Linked DNA regions of Callithrix jacchus. The protein of the gene in region 3 interacts with the protein of the main gene of each other region in a pairwise test. Links are inferred from orthologs where the notes say so. Each region holds a gene or a part of one and is shown on either strand. Other genes may lie near its edges.

Region 1 (3,500 bases), on a different chromosome or scaffold from region 3:
GAGGGTGGCCTGGAGCCTGAGTCTGTAGATGCAAGCCCAGAGATGTGATGTGCAAGGGCTAGCTTAGAGGTTAGGTTCCTTGGGGCTAACATGGGTCCTGGAGCTGCAGGGCCCAGCCTGGAACTTGGTAACACAGGGATGGTCCTGGCACCTAGGTCCATAGCAGCCAATCCAGCACTGTGGTCTACTGGAACTGGCCTGGGCCCTGGGTCTGCTAGAACACTGAGTTGGAGGAGATCCAGCGAGGACTACAGGAGCCAGCCTAGAGGGTGGGGCTATGGAATCCTGCCTGGTGCTGGCGTGGGCTTGGAGGCTCAGTCTGTGGGTACCAGCCTCTTGGGGCCTATATCAGCCTCCTTGAGGGGCTGAGTCTGCAGGTGCCTGCCTTATGACTAGGGCTGTAGGGGTCTGGCCTGAAGCCAGGAGCCTTGGGAGCTAGTCCAATGCTGAGGGTGGTTGAGGCCTTGGTACTGCTGAGGTTAGCTTGATGTTGAGGTAACCTGAAGACCAACTTCACTGTGCAGGCCTGGAGGTTGGGGTTGAATGATTCAGCTTGTGACTGGGGCAGGCCTGGAGGCTGAGTCCACTGACCTGGAGGCTGTGGGGGCCTTCTTAGCACTGGTTATTATTGGCGTGGGTCCAGTTTTAGAGTTGAATGAATGTTCAGTGCTCACTTCCCTCTATTTCTCTCACACAGAGGGTATCTCTCTCCACTCTATGCCGGGGTTGGTAGAGGGCTGATGCTAATAGTGTGAAACTATCTTTCCTACCTTCTTGAATGTACCTTATGTCTGTGCTACACCCAGATGCTGCTATAATCTCCTGCCTATTTGTTTTGTTTTTTAGTTTTTTTTTGCTCTTGTGAAGTTATTTTCATGTGTGGATAGTTGTTTTAATTGATGTTTCTGTAGAGAAATGAGTGCTGAAAAGTCCTATTCCACCATCTTGATGATGTTCTTCCTAATGGTTTTTTAATTAAGACAGTTGTACATAGAGTTAAACATTAAGTTGTCTCTCCTTGCTTCTTTTCTAGCCCCACTTATCAGAGCTAACCATTTGTAAATATGGTTTATTTTATTCCAGATTTTTCTGTGCATATATTTAATTTTTGTTATTATTGGGAGTTGGATATATTGTATTTGTTCTACAAATTTTTATTCATTTAATATGCTAATTAAACATTCATTTAATATATTAATTGGCATCCCTTTGTGAAAGCATTTGGTACCAACTTATTCACTTTGATAGCCAAGTAACAATGAGAATTTTGATGTTTGTGACTCACACTGTATAGAAAAATGGATAAACTTTGGCAGAATACACTCGCTCTTAAGAATTTTAGATGACAGTATCGACCTCAAGTGTAAATGCAGAAAGTGTTGGCAGGTATTATTTATTAAAGTGATAAACACTTTAGCATACATTTCTAGATCTTAGTATACGAACATTACATTATAGTTTTGAGAGACCTGTATGAGACTTGTTTGGCCACATGAGTGTGCTAGTGTTTGTACAGTTATGAAGGATATTTGCCTACTATGGACAAAGATAGTTTGTGGTTCCTTGTAATTTCTAGACAACATTGAAGGCATTGCTTCATGTTTCTTGGACCTGTAAAATGAGAGTGGTAAAAATCTCTTACTTGATTCTTACGAGAATTGTGTGACAAGTGACGGCCCTAAAGCAAAGCATTTCTTAGGGTTGTCTGCTATAAAACACAAAATATCAAGGCTGTTTTTTGTTTGTTTGGTTGGTTTTCTGGTTTGTTTTTTGGTTGGTTCTTTGTTCATTTGTTTCAAGCAGTGTCTTGCTGTCACCCAGGCTGAAAGGCACAATCATACCTCACTGCAGCCTCAACTGCCTCAACCTCCTGGGCTCAAGTGATCATCCTAGCCTCTGGAGTAGCTAGGACCACAGGCATGTGCCATGATGCCCTGCTAATTTTTATTTCTATTTTTCGTAGAGATGGTGTCTTGCTCTGTTGCCCAGGCTGGTCTCAAACTCCTGGCCTTGAGCGATCCTCTTATCTTAGCCTCCCAAAGTGCTGGTATTACAGGAATCAGCCACTGCACCTGGCCAAGGCTGGATTTAGAAATCCAGCCTTTAATTACCAGTGTCCAAAATCATTCCATGAAGCTCATGAAATTACTGATGCCCCCATAATGATTCCTTAGAATGCCATTGCCTAGACTTATCATACTAAATAAACTCTTGCTATATCTGACATTAGAGGGATGCTTAGTATGTGTATATTAAATTTAAATTGCATACTTGAACAAAAAGCTGTTACTCTAGTCTCACAAGCACTCAAATTTGAAGTGGCATATAAAATCATATATAGTTGAGGAATGAAAATGATATCTCTAAGTATTTATTAACGTGATATATTTGTCTTCCCTTTTTTATTCACAGATCCCATTTGGAATAAACAGAAAAAGGCTGAACTTTTTACAGATAAGTTTTGTCAAGTATGTGGAGTGATGCTACAGTTTGAATCACAAAGAATTTCACATTATGAGGTAGGTTAAAAATAATGGTAATAGGGTCTAAAGCAGATTTTTAAATGTAGCAAGTAAACTTCCTATAAGTCATTTTACTTGATTCTTACAAGAATCCTGTGAAAAAGGTAGTATTATTTTCCTTTGATGGATGAGGAGACTGGCTCAGAAAGAGTTGGTAATATACTACTTGAAGTTTGGGGAATTAAGATTAAACTCAGTCTTTTTACTCCAAAGATTTTTTCTTTTTTTTTCACACCGCTCTGCCTCCCTTTGTATCCATCAAGTCATCCATCCTTATATTAAATATAAGAGAGGCATTATGAAGCTTGCATAGGAGACTAAATGTGAATCAAGGGATATTATCTAGAACTCCCAGAGTCTTTGTTTACAGCAAATGAAGACCATAAAAACAAAACTAACTAGTTGATTGAGCCACATGTTTTTAGACACAGGACCGTAGACTCCTAGAGCTAAAACAGAGAATGTTTAATGTCCTTATTCTCTTAGTTTATAGATTAGAAAACTGAGACCCAGAGGGTTAATAATTCTCCATGGCTAGTCACTGGTATGACTAAGCCTAAAAATGGTTTATTCTGATTTCATATCCAGTGTTCTTTCCCTTCATTTGGTGTTGCTTCATATTTCTACATCATCTGATGAGCTGTTGGATTTCTTTCATATCTGGTATCTAGGTTACCAAAAATACAAGATACATTCAATTAAAACTAATGTAATGCCAGTTCTCCTTTTTTAAACACCTCATCTTGTTCTTCCCATTGCTATTCTTATGGGTAATTATATTTTAGTCCTAATGTTGGCTGAAATTAAATTACTATAATTACAGATAGGGAAATTGTGTTGACTGGATTGAGAGGAGCTAGGTTTAAGTCTTAACTCCACCGCTGACTAGTTATAGAAGCTTTCGCAAGTCACTTTACCTTTCTGAACATATTTCTTGGACCTATAAAATGAGAGTGGTAAAATATCTTACTATACTTG
Region 2 (3,500 bases), on a different chromosome or scaffold from region 3:
TGGACACTAGAATTGAATAGTTATATATTTTCCAGGTAGTCTACTAGGAAGCACATAGAATAGTGCTGGGTACATAAGGCATTCAATAAATACTAGTAAATTAAAGGGAGAGAAACTGGGAAGGAGCGAAAGTAGAAGGGAGAGAAGGTAGGCCAGAGTTCAATTAAACCCAATTCTAATCCTGTCACTGTTAGGTGTTCCAGAAGAGTTATTTCTCTCCGTAAATGCTCCTACTTTCCCATCTACGTATCTTACATAAAGTCTGTAAGAATTATTTGCTGACTAAAACTGATGCCATTTCAAGTAATAATTATTAATAACAGCCAACAAAGAAACCTTGCCTGTCAGAATGTTGACTAGAATCCAATAACAAAATTGAAGTACTATATGACATTGGCTATTGGTCTTCTAACTTCAGAAAACCAACAGACAGCTTCTGATCAGCATTGTCATACAATCCAAGTAAAGCAATACACATTTAGTCCTTAGAGTGTCTTAAAATTTTATTGCTAAAAATGCATAGTTTCATAATAACTAACTCATTCATAATTTCATTAAAATGAAATGCACAGCAATCATTATAAATAACACTCATAAGTCTAGAGCAGTCTCTGTTTTATAGTCCCTCTGATTATCCTGCAAATTGGTGAGAGGTCAGGTGGCTATAAACCCTCAAAGGAAATCTAACTACATGTCTACAGAGAAAAACTCGGTAAGTAGAGGATTTTATCTCTTAACAATTCTCAGTAACACACAGGAAAATGAGAAACTGAATTAACGTTAAAGTAAATATATCATTAAAAAAAGAGCAATTAACCAAATAACTGTAGAAAATAATAAAATATTGTTAGAAGGGAAATTTCTTAATGGATTTTTTGGAGATTCATTGCAAAAATAATAAAGATTGGGTAATGAATCCCTACTTTCAAATTTTTGCTTCTGAAGAACTATGGATCAAAACAAAACTCACCTTCCTTTTTGCTTCTTCAATAAATTCAAAACATTCTGGAAAATAAGACAGGATGTTGGTTTCAGGCAGATCCAGTATAGAAATGCTCTTATATGTAAAGTCATTGAGGAAAGCATTTTCAACTCCATATGCAACATTAAGAATATGAGTCACCTTAAAGAGAAAGAAAAAAGATGATTTTTTTAAATCCCATGAATTAAGTTATCTAAAAAGAGACTAGGGTGTTGATATCTGTAACAAGAATGGTAAAAAATTTAAATACAACTCACTTAAATGATAATACTGCTTCATCCCACACCAGAAGTGCTCCTTCTACTATATGTTCTCGTTTTCTCTCTCTCTCTCTCTCTCTCTCTCTCTCTCTCTCTCTCACTCTCTCTCTCTCTCTCTCTCTCTCTCTCTTAACTATTATTATTATCATCATGTAGAGACAGGGTCTCTTTCTGTCACCCAGGCTGGAGTACAATGATGCAATCATAGGTCACTGCAATCTTGAACTCCTATGCTCAGGTGATCCTCCCGCCTCAGCCTCCCAAGTAGCTGGGATTACAGGCAGGTACCACCACACACAGCTAACTTTTTTTTTCAGGGGAGGGGTTTCACTTTTTTGGCCCAGGCTGGTATTGAACTCCTGGCCTCAAATAATGCTCCCACAGTGCTAGGATTATAGGTGTGGGCAACCACACCTGGCCTATATATTCTCATAGCCCTGGACTTGCCCTATTATAGCTCATACCACTTAGAGACTGTCTCTTTCATTGAACTAGAAACTCCAAGGGGGTAGGGAACATGTTTAACTTAGTGTTACAAGCAAATGAGCAGTGAGTTTAGCAGAAAATGCTTAAAATCTTGTTGAATTAGTCTGTGAATATCCATATAAAAACTTCAATAGGAGAAATAGATCAGTGGTACACAACTTTCCTTTCAAGAGTCATTTTCCTATTTTCCTTCATATTCTACACTTAATAAAATGGTTCTCCAGGAGGACTGCACATTAGAGTCACCTGATGAACTTTTTTTTTTTTTTTTTGAGATGAGTCTTGCTCTGTCGCCAGGCTGGGGTGCAGTGGCGCAATCTCAGCTCACTGCAGCCTCCAACTCCCTGGTTCAAGTGATTCTCCTGCCTCAACCTCCAGAGTAGCTGGGATTACAGGCACGAGCCACCACGCCCAGCGAATTATTTTATTTTTAGTAGAGAGACCTGATGAACTTTTAAAAACTATCAATACTACAGGGTCTCATACCCAGAGATTCTGATGAACTAATCTGGCTGAAAAGTAAGGGGAGGGATGGTTATAAAATATTTTCTTTCAGGTGGTACAGTTGAGGAACCTCCTCCTCTTCCATCTATGTATTTGAGCCCCTTTTCCTAAAGTCCACCAAGCATGTGGAAGCCACATAGAAAGTCCATTAAGAGAATCCAAAGGTTGAGAATCACTTGAACTTGGGAGGTAAAGGTTGCAGTGAGCTGAGATCAAGCCATTGCACTCCAGCCTAAACAAGAGAGCAAGACTCTGTCTCAAAACAAACAAACAAACAAAAAAAACTAACAACTCTGTCTACATCTGTACCTTCCCTCTGCCTTCTGATTACATGGAAGGATGTGCTCATGCATCTTCGATATAGCTTATTTCAGAATCTTTGCTTGGAGTCACAGTGCTTCCTACTTTCTTGCCATCTCCCTATAGCCATAATTCTTGCTTTTCTGTATCTTCAATTCCTTCCTCTACCATCAGCAAACATGCTCAAAGTTCTCCCATCCCCCTCCTCACCTATGGCTCCTCTCTCTTCCCTCCCTACGCCCCATGATATCACTTCTTCACTTCTCAATCTTTTGCAATATGGCTTTGACCTCCAATTTAAATGAAACTTGCCACAAACGCACTTTTTAACCACCTCTCTGTCAGCAAGTCCCATGGACATAATTTAGTCCTAATTGTACATAAACTTTTGCAGCATCTGACATTGGCTTCCATGACACCATCTTTTTGTTTTATCTTCTTTTGGCCTCTTTTAGATCTTCCTTTTCCACTGCAGACTCTTCTTCCTTTCATCATTTCATATAGGGTGATATTCCTCAATTTATCAGTTCTGTGATAAGATTCTGTCAAAGACCCTTTTCTCTCTTACTTTACACTTTTCCCCAGGCAACTTCATCTATTCCAACGATCTCAGTAACTACTTAAAAGTGGAAGATTCCTAAATCTATATATTGACCTTCACATCCACATATCCACCCACCTAGATGATCTACATCACCCAAAATCTAAAATATTCAAATCTGAGCACATTGTTTTTCCTCCAAAGCCTGTTCCTTCTATGTTGTTCTCAAGCTCGTGGAATAATAACCTTACTTACTTATCAAAGAAAGCTAGACATCAGCCTTGACTCCTCCTTCTCCCTTAGCCCCACTCCCTATCCTGCCAAATAAGTAATCAATCACAAAATTGTAAGAATTCTGCCCTCTAAAAAGCCCCTCACATTTATCTAATTCTATCTCCACTACATCTTAATCTCAGCCACTATCATC
Region 3 (4,213 bases):
TGCAAACATTTTGGTAAAAAATACACAACTAACTCTTGAAAATAAACCCTACAAAGGATTAAATCCTTTCTACTTAAAGAAAAAAAATTCTTCTTACAATCCTCCCACACCCAGAGAATACACATAAGAAAAGCCTGTAAAATATTCTCTAGGATTAAGTGGAACCTCAAAAGCCTTGTTCTCTCCTAGCAGAACCAGAGCAAACTAAGTTTAACTCCAGTCTCTTTATAAAAACAACAACAAATGTATATACAAATAAAGATATAGGGCACGATCTCAGCTCACTCCAACCACCGCTTCCTGGGTTCAAGCAAGCCTCAATCTCTCCAAGTAGATGGGATTACAGGCGTACACAACCATGCCCAGCTAATTTTTTAATTTTTTGTAGAGATGGGGTTTTGCCATGTGGCCAGGCTGGTCTTGAACTCCTGGCCTCAGTGATCCAAATGCCTCTGCCTGCCAAAGTGCTGGGATTACAGGAGTGAGTCACTCCACTAATAAATACTGTACAATTTCACTTATATAAGGTACCTAGAGTAGTCAAATTCATAGAGACAGAAAGCAGAATGGTGGTTGCCAGAGGCTGGGGAGAGAGGAATGGAAAGTTACTGTTTGGTGGGTATACTTTTAGTTTGGGAAGATGAAAAAAGTTCTGGAAATGGATGGCAGTGATGACTGCACAACAATGTGAATACCACTGAACCGTACATTTTAAAATGCTTAAAATGGCATTTTTTTCTTGTGTATTTTACCACAATAAAACGAAACTTTTAAGGAAAAAAAAATCACTATTTAAAAAAGCCAAAGGGGCCAGGCACAGTGGCTCACATCTGTAACCCCAGCACCTTGGGAAGCCAAGGCAGGTGGATCATTTGAGATCAGGAGTTCAAGACCAGTCTGGCCAACATAATGAAACCCTACCAAAAGTACAAAAATTATCCAGGTGTGGTGGTACATGCCTGTAGTCCCAGGTACTTGGGAGGCTGAGGCAGTAGAATCACTTGAACCCAGGGGAGGTGGAGGTTGCAATAAGCCAAGATTGCATCACTGCACTCCAACCTGGGCAACAGAGTAAGACTCTGTCTCAAAAAAAGAAAAACTAACTAAATAAAAAGCCGAAGGCCAAATGTTTAATGAAAGAAAGGTCAGAATAGAACATTCCAATTTAATAGTTATGTGAACAAGGCACAGAGGAAATACTAAAACCCCAACTGAAACTAACATGCAATCCAAAAACCTGTATGTGTAACACTGGCCACTGTTTCACTTTTAAAGATGGAGAAACTAAAAGTGCCTACTCTTGGGCGACAATCATATGAAATAATCCGTGCACAGAGCAGCCCTCTGTGAGTGAGTGTGGCCCTTACCACCACTGTGGATTGCGTCTAGTCTACCAATGAGCACAAACACCCCTGTCTGCTCCTTCATTGCCAACGACACTTACTCTCACTGGCCGGAGGGGTTTCTTTGATCTGTTGGTAGTGTACTGCTGCGGTGGACAGTGCCCGAGGGGCTGGCTTGGCCCCAGCTTCCATCATCTTGGGGCAATTTTGGGCATAGAACAACAGAGATTTGCCTGCTTTCTGCAGAAAGGCCTGGGGGACTCGGGATAAGAATGGGCAGCGTCGAACAACAGTCTCCATGTTCAAGAAGTATGCTGGCTCCTGTGGAAAGACTGATGATGAGTGACATCAACACTTGTTAATAATCAGGCAAATATCACTGCAAACTCACTGGATTCAGGTGTCACCTGCAGTTTATATAAAGGGTACCCTGGAATACTAACATTTCTCACTCAAAAATGCCTAAGGACAGCACGGATGTGCTGTCAGCTAAGGAATGGTGACCACACTCTACCCAGATCATCAACTTCTTCATTCCCCAGCTCTACACAAAGGCACCTGCAAAGCAACTTCACCAAATGAAGTAAGTACTGACAGTAAATAACCAAGAGCGTGGAAGGATGAGGGACAAGTCAAGAACAGGTTTGGGAGCCCAGAGGTTTCTTAGGGAGATGCATAGTGCAGATAAGACATCTTGGCTTACACCCAGGTGGAGAAGGGATGCTAGGGAAGAAGCCACTCATTCATCCAGGCAGGGAAGACTCTTAAGAATCCTGACTTTCTCCTTGTTCCCACATCCCCGAAACCACCCCTAAACCCGAGGAAGGAGTCCAGCAGGGCTCTGGATCCCTGAGGCAAGGATTCCTCCGCGGTCGTGTCCCCACAGCGGGAAGAACTGGACATAACTTAGAAAGGAGGGGCACAAACGAGGGTAGGGGTATGAGGGCCAGCGCCTTGGGATTCACTGGGAACATGCAGGGGCTAGAAAGTCGAGGGAGTTGAGTTTGGAGAAAGAGGGCAGTCCTCGGACAGTGGGGGTCAAAGGTGACCCGAGGTCGAGGTCTCGACAATGAGGAGAGGGATAAGAGAAGGGAATTCTAAAGCGGCAGGTTTAACCGGGAATAGCCCGAGGGGGCCGAAAGGGGGAAACTGAAACGGCGGTCTAGGCAAAAGATCTGGAGGATAAACGCTGACCCCCGCCCCCGCCACAGGCGGCGGTGACTGGGACAGTGGGGGATGGGGTTCCAGTGCCCGGCGAGAGGTGCTCCAACTAGCAAGACACGCGAGGGCTTCCCCGGCCGGCGCCGCACCCACAACGCTGGCCCTCACCTGCGCGGGGGACTCTGCGGAGGCGGCGGAGGGCACTCAAGCCGAGAAGTCCAAACGAACCGTTCGTTGCCCTTGTCCAAGAGCAGCCCCAGGCCGCGACCGCCGGCGCCTTAATATACAGCGGGTGTGACCGCTGCGCATGTGCGGTAGCCGCGGCCTTCTTCCGCGCAGGCGCGCCGCGTCGCTCTCGGCGGTGTGGGTGGCGGGGACCCGGCTGAGAGACCCACTTCTTGGGCTCTGCGGGTATCCTTGCGCCGGGCATTCCCCGGCTCGCTTGTCTGAAGGAGGAGCAACCAGGAGGTGGGCGGACGAGGTCTCTTTTCCCAACCTCGTCCTGCACACGCGTGCTGCCTCCCCACCAACTACCCTGGAGCTCAAAACCCTACATCCGGATCGTGGGGTATAAAATGGCAAGATCGAGGCGAAGTGCCGCTAGGACCAAGTGGGGGACTACAGGGTTGTCAAGAATGGGTGTCTTGGACATGGAGGAAGAAGGAGATCCAAGGGATTCTGGGCCGGGGTATTAAGCAGGATCCACTCCACCTGCGACTTGCTTTGGAAGCTGGGAACGAGGGCTTCCCGGAGGAGGTGGAGAAGATCGCCCACAGATGAAGTGGTCCTGGAGGGATGCGGAAGAAGCGGGACACTCAACTGTGTCACTTTCTGGTCTAAGATGATCCAGAGAGGGGCAGAAGAATAGGGCTGGTTGGAACCCATCTATTCCACAGCTCTGAGCACTTGGGGAGGAGGGAGAGGCACAGGGTCTGACAATAGTTAGCTTGTAACAAATATTTAGCCACTATTTTTATTTTTCCATCCAGGGTTGTCCGAAGCCCCTTGCTGGCCACGCTGGGCAAGCAGGGTGGCTTAGGCCTCCATTCCAGAGGTCATGATTGGGCCCATACCTCCCTTGAGTTTCCCTGGCACAACACATGAATTGTAGGGCTTGACAAACTCCTCTCAGGAATGCCAGTCTGCCTTCCTTGCTCCACACCCTTCCCAACTTGGCTTAGGCTGGGTTGGGCTGGGCCTGTGTCTGGCTCACAGGTACTCTCCTCCAGTCTTGAGGAAAGGGCCATTGAGGTTATTCCTTTCCCAGCTGGGCATTAACAAGAGGGACAAGGTCCAGAATGACAGTGACTAGGGTGTGTTCAGGTACTTTCCATTTCCCTCTCTGAGCATCCAGCTGGTTGCAAGGCAGGTGAGGCGAGTCTCCACCTTCAGAGGAGGTACCTGGGTTCAAGAGTGGCAGTAGGACCAGTCCAGGATGAGGGCTCTGGTCTGAGAGCTTGAGTTCTGTGCCATCCTGTCGAGGGATCCTGGGCAGTGCTCGTAACCCAGAGAGGATGAGAAAGGTCAGGGTCAGCACTTCAGCTCGGACCCAAGTGCAGCTGGAAGTGGGAGCGCAATCAGAATATTGAGTCCTTTGCTCATCTTTGGGCCATGCTTTCCTCATCTGGTCAATAGGATCATAATCCCTGACATGCCTGCCTCACAGGGTTTTTTGTTGTTTTTTGTTTGTTTTTATTTGTTTGTTTTGA

What was found. The genes of interacting proteins can lie anywhere in the genome.
Region 1: the proteins of ALAS1 (region 3) and ZMAT1 interact in a two-hybrid assay, tested with the Homo sapiens proteins (2 studies listed by BioGRID). The two-hybrid records come from large-scale screens. The link is inferred for Callithrix jacchus from reciprocal best matches to the Homo sapiens genes ALAS1 and ZMAT1.
Region 2: the proteins of ALAS1 (region 3) and DUSP19 interact in a two-hybrid assay, tested with the Homo sapiens proteins (3 studies listed by BioGRID and IntAct). The two-hybrid records come from large-scale screens. The link is inferred for Callithrix jacchus from reciprocal best matches to the Homo sapiens genes ALAS1 and DUSP19.

Annotation. Positions count from the first base shown.
Region 1 is NC_133524.1:98,363,220-98,366,719, forward strand, and holds part of ZMAT1 (zinc finger matrin-type protein 1), read left to right. Parts: intron 1-2,412; coding exon 2,413-2,519; intron 2,520-3,500.
Region 2 is NC_133507.1:45,954,187-45,957,686, forward strand, and holds part of DUSP19 (dual specificity protein phosphatase 19), read right to left. Parts: intron 1,124-3,500; coding exon 971-1,123; intron 1-970.
Region 3 is NC_133516.1:34,723,327-34,727,539, reverse strand, and holds the start of ALAS1 (5-aminolevulinate synthase, non-specific, mitochondrial), read right to left. Parts: upstream 2,801-4,213; 5' UTR 2,673-2,800; intron 1,676-2,672; exon of another isoform or gene 1,665-1,675; 5' UTR 1,644-1,664; coding exon 1,445-1,643; intron 1-1,444.